Ovis aries: one gene and its partners. The protein of the gene in region 1 purifies or fractionates together with the protein of each later gene. This does not show direct contact. Links are inferred from orthologs where the notes say so. Each region holds a gene or a part of one and is shown in the gene's direction. Other genes may lie near its edges. The genes, in order: KPNA4, MECP2 and KIF22.

Evidence for each region.
Region 2: the proteins of KPNA4 (region 1) and MECP2 purify together in Homo sapiens (affinity purification with mass spectrometry; 3 studies listed by BioGRID and IntAct, counting the BioPlex papers as one, with this or other methods). This does not show direct contact. The link is inferred for Ovis aries from reciprocal best matches to the Homo sapiens genes KPNA4 and MECP2.
Region 3: the proteins of KPNA4 (region 1) and KIF22 purify together in Homo sapiens (affinity purification with mass spectrometry; 3 studies listed by BioGRID and IntAct, counting the BioPlex papers as one, with this or other methods). This does not show direct contact. The link is inferred for Ovis aries from reciprocal best matches to the Homo sapiens genes KPNA4 and KIF22.

Annotation. Positions count from the first base shown.
Region 1 is NC_056054.1:227,593,937-227,598,602, forward strand, and holds the start of KPNA4 (importin subunit alpha-3), read left to right. Parts: upstream 1-1,485; 5' UTR 1,486-1,769; coding exon 1,770-1,838; intron 1,839-4,666. UniProt on the Homo sapiens protein: Functions in nuclear protein import as an adapter protein for nuclear receptor KPNB1. Binds specifically and directly to substrates containing either a simple or bipartite NLS motif.
Region 2 is NC_056080.1:80,263,882-80,267,823, forward strand, and holds part of MECP2 (methyl-CpG-binding protein 2), read left to right. Parts: intron 1-2,871; coding exon 2,872-3,222; intron 3,223-3,942. UniProt on the Homo sapiens protein: Chromosomal protein that binds to methylated DNA. It can bind specifically to a single methyl-CpG pair. It is not influenced by sequences flanking the methyl-CpGs.
Region 3 is NC_056077.1:26,959,135-26,963,076, reverse strand, and holds part of KIF22 (kinesin-like protein KIF22), read left to right. Parts: exon of another isoform or gene 1-286; intron 287-1,165; coding exon 1,166-1,361; intron 1,362-2,670; coding exon 2,671-2,798; intron 2,799-2,888; coding exon 2,889-3,043; intron 3,044-3,435; coding exon 3,436-3,645; intron 3,646-3,735; coding exon 3,736-3,942. UniProt on the Homo sapiens protein: Kinesin family member that is involved in spindle formation and the movements of chromosomes during mitosis and meiosis. Binds to microtubules and to DNA. Plays a role in congression of laterally attached chromosomes in NDC80-depleted cells.

The DNA of each region.
Region 1 (4,666 bases):
CTGAATTTTCTTATTCTAAACTCAGTTTCAAGACATCAGTGCTACCGTGTGCAATGTTACCTCAATTAAATGGTTCTATGGGGAATAAAATTTATAATGAACACCATTTTAAACTTAAAATCGGCACTGAATTTACATTCAAGTTAATGTACAGTGTGAATTGTTTCCAAGCACAGCTTCTGTGTGCCTAGGTAGCTGAAAGCATACAAAGTATTCAGGACTTTAAAGGCATTATTCTCATTTTAAACGTTTCAAAATATATTTTTAAACCATTTCCGTCTCCCGTTTTCTGAAGTACTTTTAGTACATTCTTTCGTCGATTGTGCTATTTCTATCTCTGGTAATAACATTTCTGTTAGAGATGTGTATCTTTGGAACTCTTTTCCCTTCTAAGCAGAGTCACAATATTACATTTCCTATGTCTGGTGCCACGGTTCCCGCCTTTCAGAAGTTAGTACTGTGTGGCCGAGAAATTCCTTTTAACTTTGCAAGACGAAGTATCTTGGAGGATGGAGGACTTCCCTAGTGGCTCAGCGGTAAAGAATCCGCCTGCCAAGCAGGCGCCACCTGTTCGATCCCTGGATTGGGAAGAGCACCTGGAGACGGAAAAGGCAACCCACTACAGTATTCTTGCCTGGGAAATCCTATGGACAGAGGAGCCTGGCGGACTACAGTCCATGGGGTCGCCAGGAGTCCTATACCTTTACCACTGAGCCACCAGGGAAGCCCCTAAGAGTCCGTTAAGTCTTAGCAACTAACCAACAACACAAGTATAACCACAGGATAAATCAGCGCTTCCCAAGTTCCCACCTGTTGCGGGACTTGGTCAGAGGGGATGAATCAGATTCCTCTAAAGCGTCCTTTTCCTTTTCCAGCCACTGACCCTCCCGCTTTCCGCTGCGACTCCGGAACGCTAGTCACTCTTTCCAGTCCAGGCCCCAAGGCCAGGCCCCCAGACAGCAGAGACCCCTGCTAGGGTAGGGAGCTCGGTTGAGAATAGGGGGCTGTCCCGATCCGGGATGGAACCGAGGCGCAGATCTCCTGTAAAGCACCAGGAGCGCGTAAAGAATGCCCTAGGAGAGAAGACGCACCGAAGAAGAAAAGAACGTACTTTGATTGAGCTTTGGCCGGGGGACTCCAGACCTCTGGGGCGGGTCCTACAACAAGAACAAACCAACTCGTTCCCGGGCGTCTCCTTCCCCCTTCCCCTTCCCGCCTTCCTTTAAGCCTCCTACTTCTCTTTCGCTTCCTCCCCCCTGCTCCGGGGGCACGTGGTCCCTCCCTGCTCTTCCTCGCCACACCCCCTCCCCTCCGGGCCCATCCCGCGGCCCCTTCCTCCCAGAGTCTCCCGCTTCCCCTTTCCATTCGCTCTTCCGCCCCCGCTCTCCATCGTTCTTTCTGATTGGTCGCGCGCACCGGAGTCTGGTTGGCCAATCGGCGAGCGGGACTGGCGGCGATGGGCGTGGCCGCGGCGCCGGGGCCCTCAGATCGAGGCTGCCTCCCCCTCGCAGCCGGCAGCACATTCCGCCGCCGTTGCCGCCGCCCGGCTCCGCAGTTGTCTTCGCCGGAGCTGCGGTCGCGCTGGGGTTAGGGCGGGGGGGGACGGGCGGGGAGAGGCGAAGACCGCGGCGAAGGCAGGTGAGAGGAGGAAGGAAGCGGCGGGCACAGCAGCTCAGGCAGCGGCCCGGTTCCTGGGAGTGTCGGTGCGGCGTGGTGGTTGGGGCGGATCCCGCGGGGCCCGGGCGGGGGAAGGAGTCACCGGCCCGGCCATGGCGGACAACGAGAAACTGGACAACCAACGGCTCAAGAATTTCAAGAACAAAGGCCGCGACTTGGAGGTAAACTCGGGGACGCCGGAGGGGTGAGGGCCATGGGCCTCGGGTCGATCTCCGCCGGGACTCGGAGTGTGGGGAGTAGGGGCGGGAGCCGCGGCCGCCGCCGGGCCGCAGGGGAATGGCGCTGGGGGCCGGCCCGTCCGTGACGCGTGTGCTAACGCGCCGGGAAGTTTGTGTCGGGCCTGGTCCGCCTCCGCGGGGAGCGAGGTGCCGGGGTACGGCCGGCGCGGCCTAGGCCTGCCCGGCGGAGCTGGCCCGGCGCGGTTGCGAGGGGCTGGGCCTCGCGGCAGGGAGGCCGGGCGCGGCGAGTGTGGAGGAGGCGTGCGTGTGCCGCGCCGCCCCGGCCCGCCTGCGCCCCCAGCCCCGGAGCGGCGGCGGAGATTCCGGCTCTGGCTCCCGCAACGACGTCTGGGGCCGAGGGTGGGGAGGTAGGAGGGACTAGCGTGTGGCGACCGAGTGGGGCTCGGAACTTCCTCAGCGAGGCCCGAGTCGTCTCCACTTAAAGGCACTTTCTCTGGTCTTTCCGACTCCCGCTTTACCCCTGCCTCCCCCCAATATCCAAACTACAGGAGTCAACTTCTCCGTTGAAAAAAAACACCCCCGGCGTGAGAGGCCTTCCTGGTGATGCTAACAGTGCCTTCCAGCGGCCTGTGTTTTACTGTGGATATAGCTGATGTGGATGAGCAAGATGTGGCTCACGGTGTGCGCTCTTCCTGGCAAAGGATAACCCTTATGTCAGCTTGTTCACAAATCTTTTTACCCTTTCCTGAGAGACCACCAGCTGCATTCTTACCTATAAAGTCCAAAGGGTTATTCAAAGCTGTCTTCCTCTAGTCTACAGTATCCTTTCCCTCCACCTGCCGGTGGTGGTGGTAATGGGGGATGGGGTGGGCTGCGGAATGGCACCATCACATTTTATTATTCTAAAAGGGTGAAAAAAACCCCTTCATTATTTTAGAAAATAGCTGCTTTTGAGGTTAAGGGCCATAAGGTGTGAGTTAAACACCTATTACAGATTTTTGATATTAGACTTTTTTCCTTCAGTATTAGGAGTCTAGGTGAATAGGGGTTCTTTTGTTTGCTTTTTTTTTTTTTTAATTTTAAATATTTCCATTCTGCATCTGAATCAAGAGTTTAGCTTTTAAAAGAAGGTGGTCTAGTGGTATTTTTTTTTTTTTTGTACTTTTTTATACTGAGATCTTCAAATTCCCATCATCTGTTTCTGAACTTTGAGCTTTTGCCTGATTGAGATAGTGACTGCTTGGGGGGCTTTCCACAAAGCCATTTACTCTCCAAGGCAGTTAATGCTGTCTCAGTGGGTTTCCTAGTTTGAGGGACTTAAATACTATCTGGTTAATTCTGTGATTCTTTTAAGATTAACATCAGGCATAATTTTTATAACACCTTTTTATTTTAAATGAAAGAATTTTAACTTTATTGAGATGATTCACATGGTATTGAAATTGCCATTTAAATGAAGAATTTATGATTTTCATTGTTTAGTAGTGTAATGATGTGATAAAAAAATTTTTGACTTATGAATATTTAAAATAAGGGGGGGAAATCACAAATTACAAAACCTAAAAGCTTAAATATGGCAAAATTAGAAAAATCTAGAGAAATATCAAATGCTTGACAATCCTTCTAATCTCTTTCCCTTCTACTTTTCTGGCTGTTTTTTATTTTTTAAACAACTTCATTGAGATGGAATTCACATACTATACAGTTCACCCATTTGAAATGGTTTTTGGTATTTTCACATAGTTGTACAGCCATCAGCACAGTCTTAGAACATTTTCATCACTCTCCAAAAGAAACCCAGACTCACTAGCGGTCATTCTGTCTTTTTAGATTTACCTATTCTAAATATTTCATATAAATGGAATTATACAGTATGTGATCTTTTGTGACTGGCTTCTTTAGGTAGCTGATGTTTTCAAGGTTTATACATATTGTAAAAATAATGTATTAGTGCTTTATTCCTTTTTATAGCTGACTATTCCAGTGTGTGCATATACTAGTTTTTGTTCATTCATTCATCATTTGCATTGTTTCCACTTTTTAATGATTAATGCTGCTCTGAATATTCATCTACACATTTTTGTGTAGACCTGCGTTTTCATTTCTCTTTAGTTTTACACGTATGGTAACTTTATGTGTCTCTTTCTGTGGAATTGCCAAGCTATTTTTAGGTGATCCTTATTTTTTAAATTGATGTTCTCCCCTCACTGTGTATTTCTTATTTTAGCCAAAATAAGATTAAAGGCTGATTCTATATTAGAGCCATATTTGCTATGTGATTTTTTAAAAATAGCTGTAAATACACATTAAGTAAAATGTTTTGAGAAGTTCATTTTGCCTTGTGGGTATCCTTTAGTGGCTTTGATAACTCTGCATGCATTAGGAATATGAGTATTTTCATGTTTCACCTAAAGGAATGGAATATGATTTTAAGAGAAAGTCATCCTTTCTCCTCACTTGTAATTTATTCTGTCACATATGCCTGCAATGAAATAAAAACATCTTTTATTATCCTGGGAGAATATTGGAAGGCCTGTGTGTGTATGTGCTTAGTCGCACAGTTGTGTCCAACTCTGTGTGACCCTATGGACTGTAGCCCGCCAGCCTCCTCTGTCCATGGGATTCTCCAGGCAAGAATACTAGAGTGGGTTGCCATGCCCTCCTCCAAGGTATCTTCCCAACCCAGGGATGGAACTCAGGTCTCCTTCATTGCCGGCGGATTATTTACTGTCTGAGCCACCAGGGAAGCTCTAGAAGCCCTATTGTGTGTATTAATTACATACATGCCTGTGTCCCTCAAAATAGGAATT
Region 2 (3,942 bases), on another chromosome or scaffold:
GCAGGTTTTACGTTATGTCTATGTGATTGTAATAAAAATCTCTCAAAGCCCATGCAATTCATTTAGGCCAAGTTGCAGTCTGGGCACAGGGGTCTCCCTACTTGGTAGCCAAAGAATTCTCTCCTCCCCTCCTTGAGCTTCTTTTTAGTTGTTCCTTTGTGTTGAGGTGGAGACTGCTTATAATGCGGTGTTTGCTGCTCCTGCAGTGCCTCCTCGCAGGGCTGGCTGTCGCTCCACCCTGCTGCTGGCCCAGGTTTCCCTATCCTCAGTTGGTGACACTTTTCCCCACACCGGCCAGCTGTGTTGCTTCACCTCCTGGTCACGTCCCGAGTCCCCACTACCTACACCTGGGACTGTGCCTCGAGAGCCCCTGGAGCAGTCTGCCCTGCCCTGGGCATCGCCCCATGAGGAATTGCCATCCCCTGCCCCAGATCATCAAGGTGATGCTGCTGCAGGGCTGCTGTGGCATGGAGTCCAGCAGGCCTCAGAGTCCCCCAGGCCACCTGCTGCTCTCTGGGGTCTCCTGCAGGCCACTCTCCACACAGCAGCTGAAGGAATCCCATCACACCCAGAATCAAACCCGACACAGCTCCATGACCCCTCCTTGAGGCCTCCCTGCTGCCTAAAACCTTCCTCATAAGACCCTTGAGACCCTCCCTCACTTTCTGTCTTTCCCTCCTTTTCCCCCCAACATCGCCAAGCGGGTTATTTTCTTCTCTGAAATCTAAACAGTTCATGCTTTTGGATCTTCACTTTCCCCAGCACAGGCTGCCCTAGGACCTGAGCCAGCCTGTTTCCCCTCCATGGATGCTAGGCGTGTTCTAGTCTCTTCCCTTCTGTCTTGATTTTCTTTTTGGTTATGTCAACTTTTACATGATTCGGAAAATGAAATTCTGGTCCACACACCTGGCAAGTTCTGGCCCTGTGCCATTCCTCACCTCAGTCCCGCCTACCCCATGTTGGACTAGTTCTGTGCATTTCTGCCCTCTGCTTCCTAAAGTCTCTGTTTCTCCCCTGGAGAATGGCCTACCGTGGACCCCTTCCTGGGGGTCCCACCCTGAGTTTCCCACCCTGGGGTTCAGGTTACCTGGCTCTCCGTGGTGTGCACATGTCAGTGTTGGCCCAATAGGTCTCGGGCGGTGGCTGTCTGGCTTGGCTGCAGTCTTGGGCCAGTAAAAAGAATGCTATCACCAATAGCATTGTGCTCAAATGCAGAATGTTGTTTTCTGTTTCTGTGGGTATGTGTTCTTGGTAGATTTCTAGAAGGGCTGGCCCTAGACGGCATTGACACCCTTGTTGGTACCTAAGGGGCATTCCTGGGGCACATGCTTCATGCCAAAGCTCACCGTAGTTACAGTATCCACAGATGCACATGAGGGCTCTGAAGAAGCCAGACTTGGCCATCAGGGCCCTGTTTTCCTGTGGCCTGGGACTGTCTGGGTTCCTGACACAGAGCTAAGCCTGGGCTTACCCTCGAGCTCTGCCGGAGACAGCCAGGATAGGTAGGAGGGCGAGGTGTGCCCTTTCCATGCCCCGTCTCCCTGGGCCCGACCTGTGAGTTCTGGTGCAAACTCACTTTTGGGGACTGAGCCATGTCATTCGAGTCTTGCGGCCAAGGCAGGCCTTGGTGCCTTGGTGGTGGTCTCCAGGGTATGGCCAGCAAGGGAAGTCACTTGGGGTGGGTTGTTGTGAGCCTCACGGGCCCCAGGAGGCTCTGGGGCTGAGATCTGGAACACAGATGAGTCTGGCTCTTTTCCAGGGTGAGTTTCTAAGAGAGGGCTTTGCAGGTGACTGGCTCTGAGCCCACAGTTCTGGTTTCCAGGCCTCCCTGGCCCAGGTGATGCTCTCACCCTGTTGGCCCAGCCACGAGAGCAGCATGGCCAGACTCTAATCCCAGAGTCTGGAGCCTCACAGTAACCACTGTCCAAGGAGATAGGAGGGGGTCCTACCGGGTGGGACCCATGCATACCGGAGGAACTGGTCTGTCAGCATGGAGGAATGGGGAGGCACCCGCCCTGGAATCAGGCACGTCCCAGTGCCAAAGCCCCGCGTGGTCAGGAGAGTCTGGTGAGAAAGACTCACCCAGCAGGGAATTGCTCCTCTTCTCACGTGAGAACCCTGGGCAGTAGTGTCTGGTTGCCCCATCCCACTGTTTAGACAATGCCTTTGTGACTCTTCTCTGTCTAGGGTGTTGGTACCCATTGTCAAGATAGGAGGAGACTGAGGCACAGGATGTTGAAGTCACTTGTGCAGATCCATGTTTGGAAATGGCAAAAAAAAAAAAAAAAATCACGATTTGGGCTCGGTGTGGCTTACTCCAAATCTGCAGGTTTTTCCTCAACACTGCACTCGGCACCACCTCCCCAGGGGCAGTGTTGGGCTCTTCCCATCACCAAGGTGTATTGTACGGTTTTCATTGAACACCCATTTGAGAAAACCCCAAACACAAAAGCTTAAAGTAACACTTATGCTTAAAAACACAAAAACTTAAAGTAACACTCCCTGGGGAAGAGGAGCCCCCTCAATTTTGGTGAGTAGGTCCCTCTCCAGCGGGTGAGAGAGCCTCTCATCATCCGTCCAACCCAGAGGCCCTAGCTCGTAACACCGAGAAGCCATCTTGGCAAGCCTGCTAGAGATGGGCCTCAGGGTGACCACAGTGTCGGTAGGGTGCTGTGGGCCATCACTGTCAGCAGCCCCAGGCTCTCAAGTCATCTGTGAAGGGGAAGGGCATTTCAATCTGGGGGACGCTAGTAGGACAGCCCCTCTCCTGGGGCCCTGCCCATGTCAGGGCACCCCAGACCTGCTGGCGCCCACTTTTTTCTGCACACCAGTTTGTTCCCTGTGATACTGACATCCTTGTTTAACACTCAGGGAAGAAAAGTCCGAAGAGCAGGATCTCCAGGGCCTGAAGGACAAACCTTTGAAGTTCAAAAAGGTGAAGAAGGATAAGAAAGAAGACAAAGAGGGCAAGCATGAGCCCCTGCAGCCAGCAGCCCACCACTCTGCCGAGCCAGCAGAGGCCGGCAAAGCAGAGACCTCAGAAGGGTCAGGCTCGGCCCCAGCCGTGCCAGAAGCTTCTGCGTCCCCCAAGCAGCGGCGCTCCATCATTCGTGATCGGGGCCCCATGTACGATGACCCCACTCTGCCGGAAGGTTGGACCCGAAAGCTTAAGCAAAGGAAATCTGGCCGCTCCGCTGGGAAGTATGATGTGTACTTGATCAAGTAAGTGAGGGTGATTCCTGTCTCTCCAGAGCAGGGAAGGCTAGTGGTGGTGGTTGGGAAAGAGTCAGGGATCACCACTAAGAAACTTTTGGGGACCCCTTGGAGTGTTAGCTCCTTGCGGCTCATGGATCAAGAAAGTGTGTGTGCGTAACCCACTTCCGGTCGGGTCTTCAGTAGTGACCACTGCTGGTGGGTCTGATCAGGTATGCTTGGAATGACCACCTGGGGAGGTCACTGCCCTGAGGGAGATGTCCATCAGGGCCTTGTCTGGAGGAAGAATAGCACTGGGGACACAGAGTTCTGCCATTCATACTCTGCTGATGATTTCCCAGCAGAGGGGCTGTCCTCAGGACCTGGGAACCTCTTCTTTGTGGGAGAGTCCTTCTGTGCCAATACTTCATGAGCCCTGAGAAATACAAATTCACAGGGTTCAGTCTGTTGCGTGAGGCGTGCTGGTAAAGGGGGGCTGTCTGATACAGCCTAGAGAGAGCCCCAGATGGGCTCGGAGTACCTTTCCCACTGTCCCTCTGGCCTTTGTCCAGCTGTGGGCTGGTGGTTGGGTGTTACCTGTTGAAACAGAGTCACTTCCTAGCCAGATATTTAGAGGACAAGTGTGACTACGTTCATTTCACTTGTCCCCCTTAAATGACTCCAGACAGGTTAGCCATTTTGGAATTCACTCGTACAGTCTCATTTAATTCCAGTAACTCAGATAAAGCA
Region 3 (3,942 bases), on another chromosome or scaffold:
GATTTTGGAGCCCCCAAAAATAAAGTCTGATACTGTTTACACTGTTTCCCCATCTATTTCCCATGAAGTGATGGGACCAGATGCCATGATCTTCGTTTTCTGAATGTTGAGCTTTAAGCCAACTTTTTCACTCTCCTCTTTTACTTTCATCAAGAGGCTTTTAGTTCCTCTTCACTTTCTGCCATAAGGGTGGTGTCATCTGCATATCTGAGGTTATTGATATTTCTTCCGGAAATCTTGATTCCAGTTTGTGTTTCTTCCAGTCCAGTGTTTCTCATGATGTACTCTGCATATAAGTTAAATAATCCCTGTTTATTCCTCTGAATAGCAAAGAAGATACAATGTAGGTTATGGTTCAAGATACAGTAATAGCCACAGGGCTCCAGGCCTAAAACACCGAGGTGCTTGGAGAGTGGCTGCACTTCTGTGAGCGTCTTCACAGGTTAATAGGACTGACAGAAGCTACCTTTCAGGGACACCATGGAAGTTAAAGTGTGCCTAGCACTTAGTCGGACACGACTGAAGTGACTTAGTAGCAGCAGCACTTAGCCAGTGCTTCATAAATGTGAATGTTTGCTAAGTACACGATCTGGTTTATGGTTCCAGCCATAGATAATCTCTCTCCTTCAGCCCCCCACTGCACCCTGCCTGAGACCGTGTATTTGATTCTTCTTTCTCTTCCATCCTGCCCTTCTGTGTTTGACTCACCTACAGGACACACACAGTCCTGCCTTAGTGGTTCTACACGGGGGCCTGCTTTCACCCCTCCATATTTTTTGCACGTGCCTTTCCTTCTTCCTGAAATGCTTGGCAGTGACCCTACTTATTCTTCAGGGGTCAGCTCAGTTACCTCCACCTCCAAGACTGCTAGCCTTGTGTGTTCGTGTGTGCTCAGTTGCGCCACTCGTGTCCCACTCTTTGCAACCCTATGGACTGTAGCCCGTGAGGCTCCTCTGGCCATGGGATTTCCCAGGCAAGAACACTGGAGTGGGTTGCCATGCCCTTCTCCAGGGCATCTTCCCCACCCAGGGTTTGAAGCTGTGTCTCTTAGGTCTCCCCCACTGGCAGTGGGTTCTTTACCACTAGTGCCACCAGGAAGCCCACTCATACCCTTATCTCTCAGCAAAGCTGCCACCATGCTTCACGCCTAAAAATGATCTTCTAGGAGCCGGTCGCTGTCGGCTAAGCAAGGTGGGAGCTGCCCGGCGCCCACCTCCAGCTCGAGTGAGGGTAGCTGTGAGACTGCGCCCGTTTGTGGATGGGACAGCTGAAGAAAACGACACCCCCTGTGTGCGGGGCCTGGACAGCTGTTCTCTGGAGATTGCCAACTGGAGGAACCACCAAGAGACTCTCAAATACCAGTAAGGTTCAGGCCACACTCCCTCCCACTCTCTCTCTCCTAGGCCTGCTCGCACTATCACTTGCCCAGAAGTGATTTCTCAGACCTCCTCCTGAGGATCCTTCTTCCTTCCTTAGTGCAGCTTTGTTTGCCACACCTTTGCTTTGGGTAATGTTCATGGGTGCCCACTGCGATAGGGCCTGTCCAGGAGAGTGTGGGGAAGGCTGGAGGCTGAGTCAGATGCACGTTGCTATTCACAGTCTTAGAGGGGAAGCAGGCACAAAGTGGGGAAGGAGCAGCAAAGGCGAGCTGGGGAGTCCAGCTCGGACCTTTGGGGAGGGGTGGGAAGGACTGGGGAAACGTAGACCAGCCAGCCAGCCCAGGCTGTGGCTGGGTGGTGTCAGATAAGACCGCCCATGTTTGGGGGATAGAGCTTACAGCTGTTTTAAAATTCCTTGGGAGATTTAAAGTTCAGGCTCCTTGGCCTGTCATTCTAGGCCAGAGGGTGGCAAACTAAGATCTGCAGGTGAAATCTGTCAGCAGACTTTGTGTAAATAAGGCTTTATTGGAATATAGTCATGCTCATTTATTTACATACTATCTGCGGCTGCTTTCTGCCTGACTACAGTGACGGGTGAGCAGTTGTGAAAGGAACCATGTAGTCCACAGAGCCCCAAATGTTTACTATCTGGCTTCTTATGGAAAAAGTTTGCCAACCTTGTTCTAGGCCCTTGACAACTTGGCTTTAGTTTCTTTCCAGCCTCATTTCCCCCAGCACATGCTACACTCCACTATATCAGTGCTAATCCCTGCCTCAACCGAAGCTTCTCCGTCAGAGTACAGTGACTAAGCTTCAGGTGTGTCAAGTCTCATCTAGTCTTTACTCCATGTGGTGTACAGATGCCTCTTTCTATAAATTCTGTGTTATGAAAAAGGATTGGGAAGCCTGGCCCTTTTATACCATGTCTTGTGTGCTATTTTTGACACTTAGAGTATCTTTCTCTTCTCTCTCTGGCAAAAATCCTCCTTCCCCAGGCAGAATGTTACTCCTTCTAGTGCATTCTCATCTTTGTTTCCTGAGTCACAGCAAAGTGTGGGTATCTATCTATGCCACCAGACTGCAGAACTCCTAAGAGCAGGGATACCAAATTCATCTCTGTGTTTCTACACCAAAACAGAGACTGGGACAGAATGGGTGTTCAGTGGGCACTTTCTTAGACCTTTGTGTAAGAAGAAGAATAGGGACCCTTAAACGTGAGACCAGTTTTATCCTCTAGACCTGGGTGAGAATGGAACCTGCTACTGAGTCCCGCCTTTCTTCCTGCCCGCAGGTTTGATGCTTTCTATGGGGAGAGGAGCTCTCAGCAGGACATCTATGCAGGATCGGTGCAGCCCATCCTGAGGCACTTGCTAGAAGGGCAGAATGCCAGTGTGCTCGCCTATGGGCCCACAGGGGCAGGTGAGGAGGCCAGATACAGAGCAGCCCTGGGCCAGAAGGGACTCGGGAACGGGGAAGAAAATCTCACAGCTCTCTCCACTCTTTCCCCAGGGAAGACACACACAATGCTGGGCAGCCCAGAGCAGCCTGGGGTGATTCCTCGGGCTCTCATGGACCTCCTACAGCTCACGAGGGAGGAGGGTGCTGAGGGCCGGCCGTGGGCCCTCTCTGTTACTATGTCCTACTTAGAGATCTACCAGGAAAAGGTGAGCCCCCCAGCCCCATTTTTAAATATTCATTTCGCTGCTCAGGGTCTTAATTGAGGCACATGTGGGATCATTAGTTGCCATGTGGGATCTAGTTCCCTGACCAGGGATCGAACCCAGGCCCCCTGTACTGGGAGTGTGGAGTCTTAGCCACTGGACCACCAGGAAGTCCTCAAGGGCCCTTTCTGATTGGGGAGGGAAGAAACAAAGGGTAAAAATCAGACCCGGTTCTGGAACATGAAGTTTTGATCTAGCAAGGACACCTGGAAAGACAGAGGTTAGGGTAGCAGATGGCACAACTCTGAGAATCCAGCAAAGAAAACGAGAACCACAGGCAGGAAGTAGGCAGCCTGTAAGTGGAGAATTGGCCCTACCCCTCACTGCTCACATAGGTATTAGACCTCTTGGAACCTTCATCGGGAGACCTGGTGATCCGAGAAGACTGCCGAGGAAATATCCTGATTCCGGGCCTCACGCAGAAGCCCATCACTAGCTTTGCTGATTTTGAGCGGCATTTCCTGCCAGCCAGCCGAAATCGGACGGTGGGAGCCACCCGGCTCAACCAGCGCTCTTCCCGCAGTCATGCTGTGCTCCTGGTTAAGGTGAGACCTCTCCTCCACCCCCGACAGGGGTGAGGACCTGCGGAGCCCCCAGAATTTGAATTAAATGGGGGCCCTTGCTCTTGCCCCCAGGTGGATCAGCGAGAACGCTTGGCCCCATTTCGCCAGCGGGAAGGGAAACTCTACTTGATTGACTTGGCTGGCTCAGAGGACAACCGGCGCACAGGCAACAAGGGCCTAAGGCTGAAGGAGAGTGGAGCCATCAACACCTCCCTGTTTGTATTGGGCAAGGTGGTGGATGCTTTGAACCAGGGCCTCCCTCGGGTACCCTACCGGGAC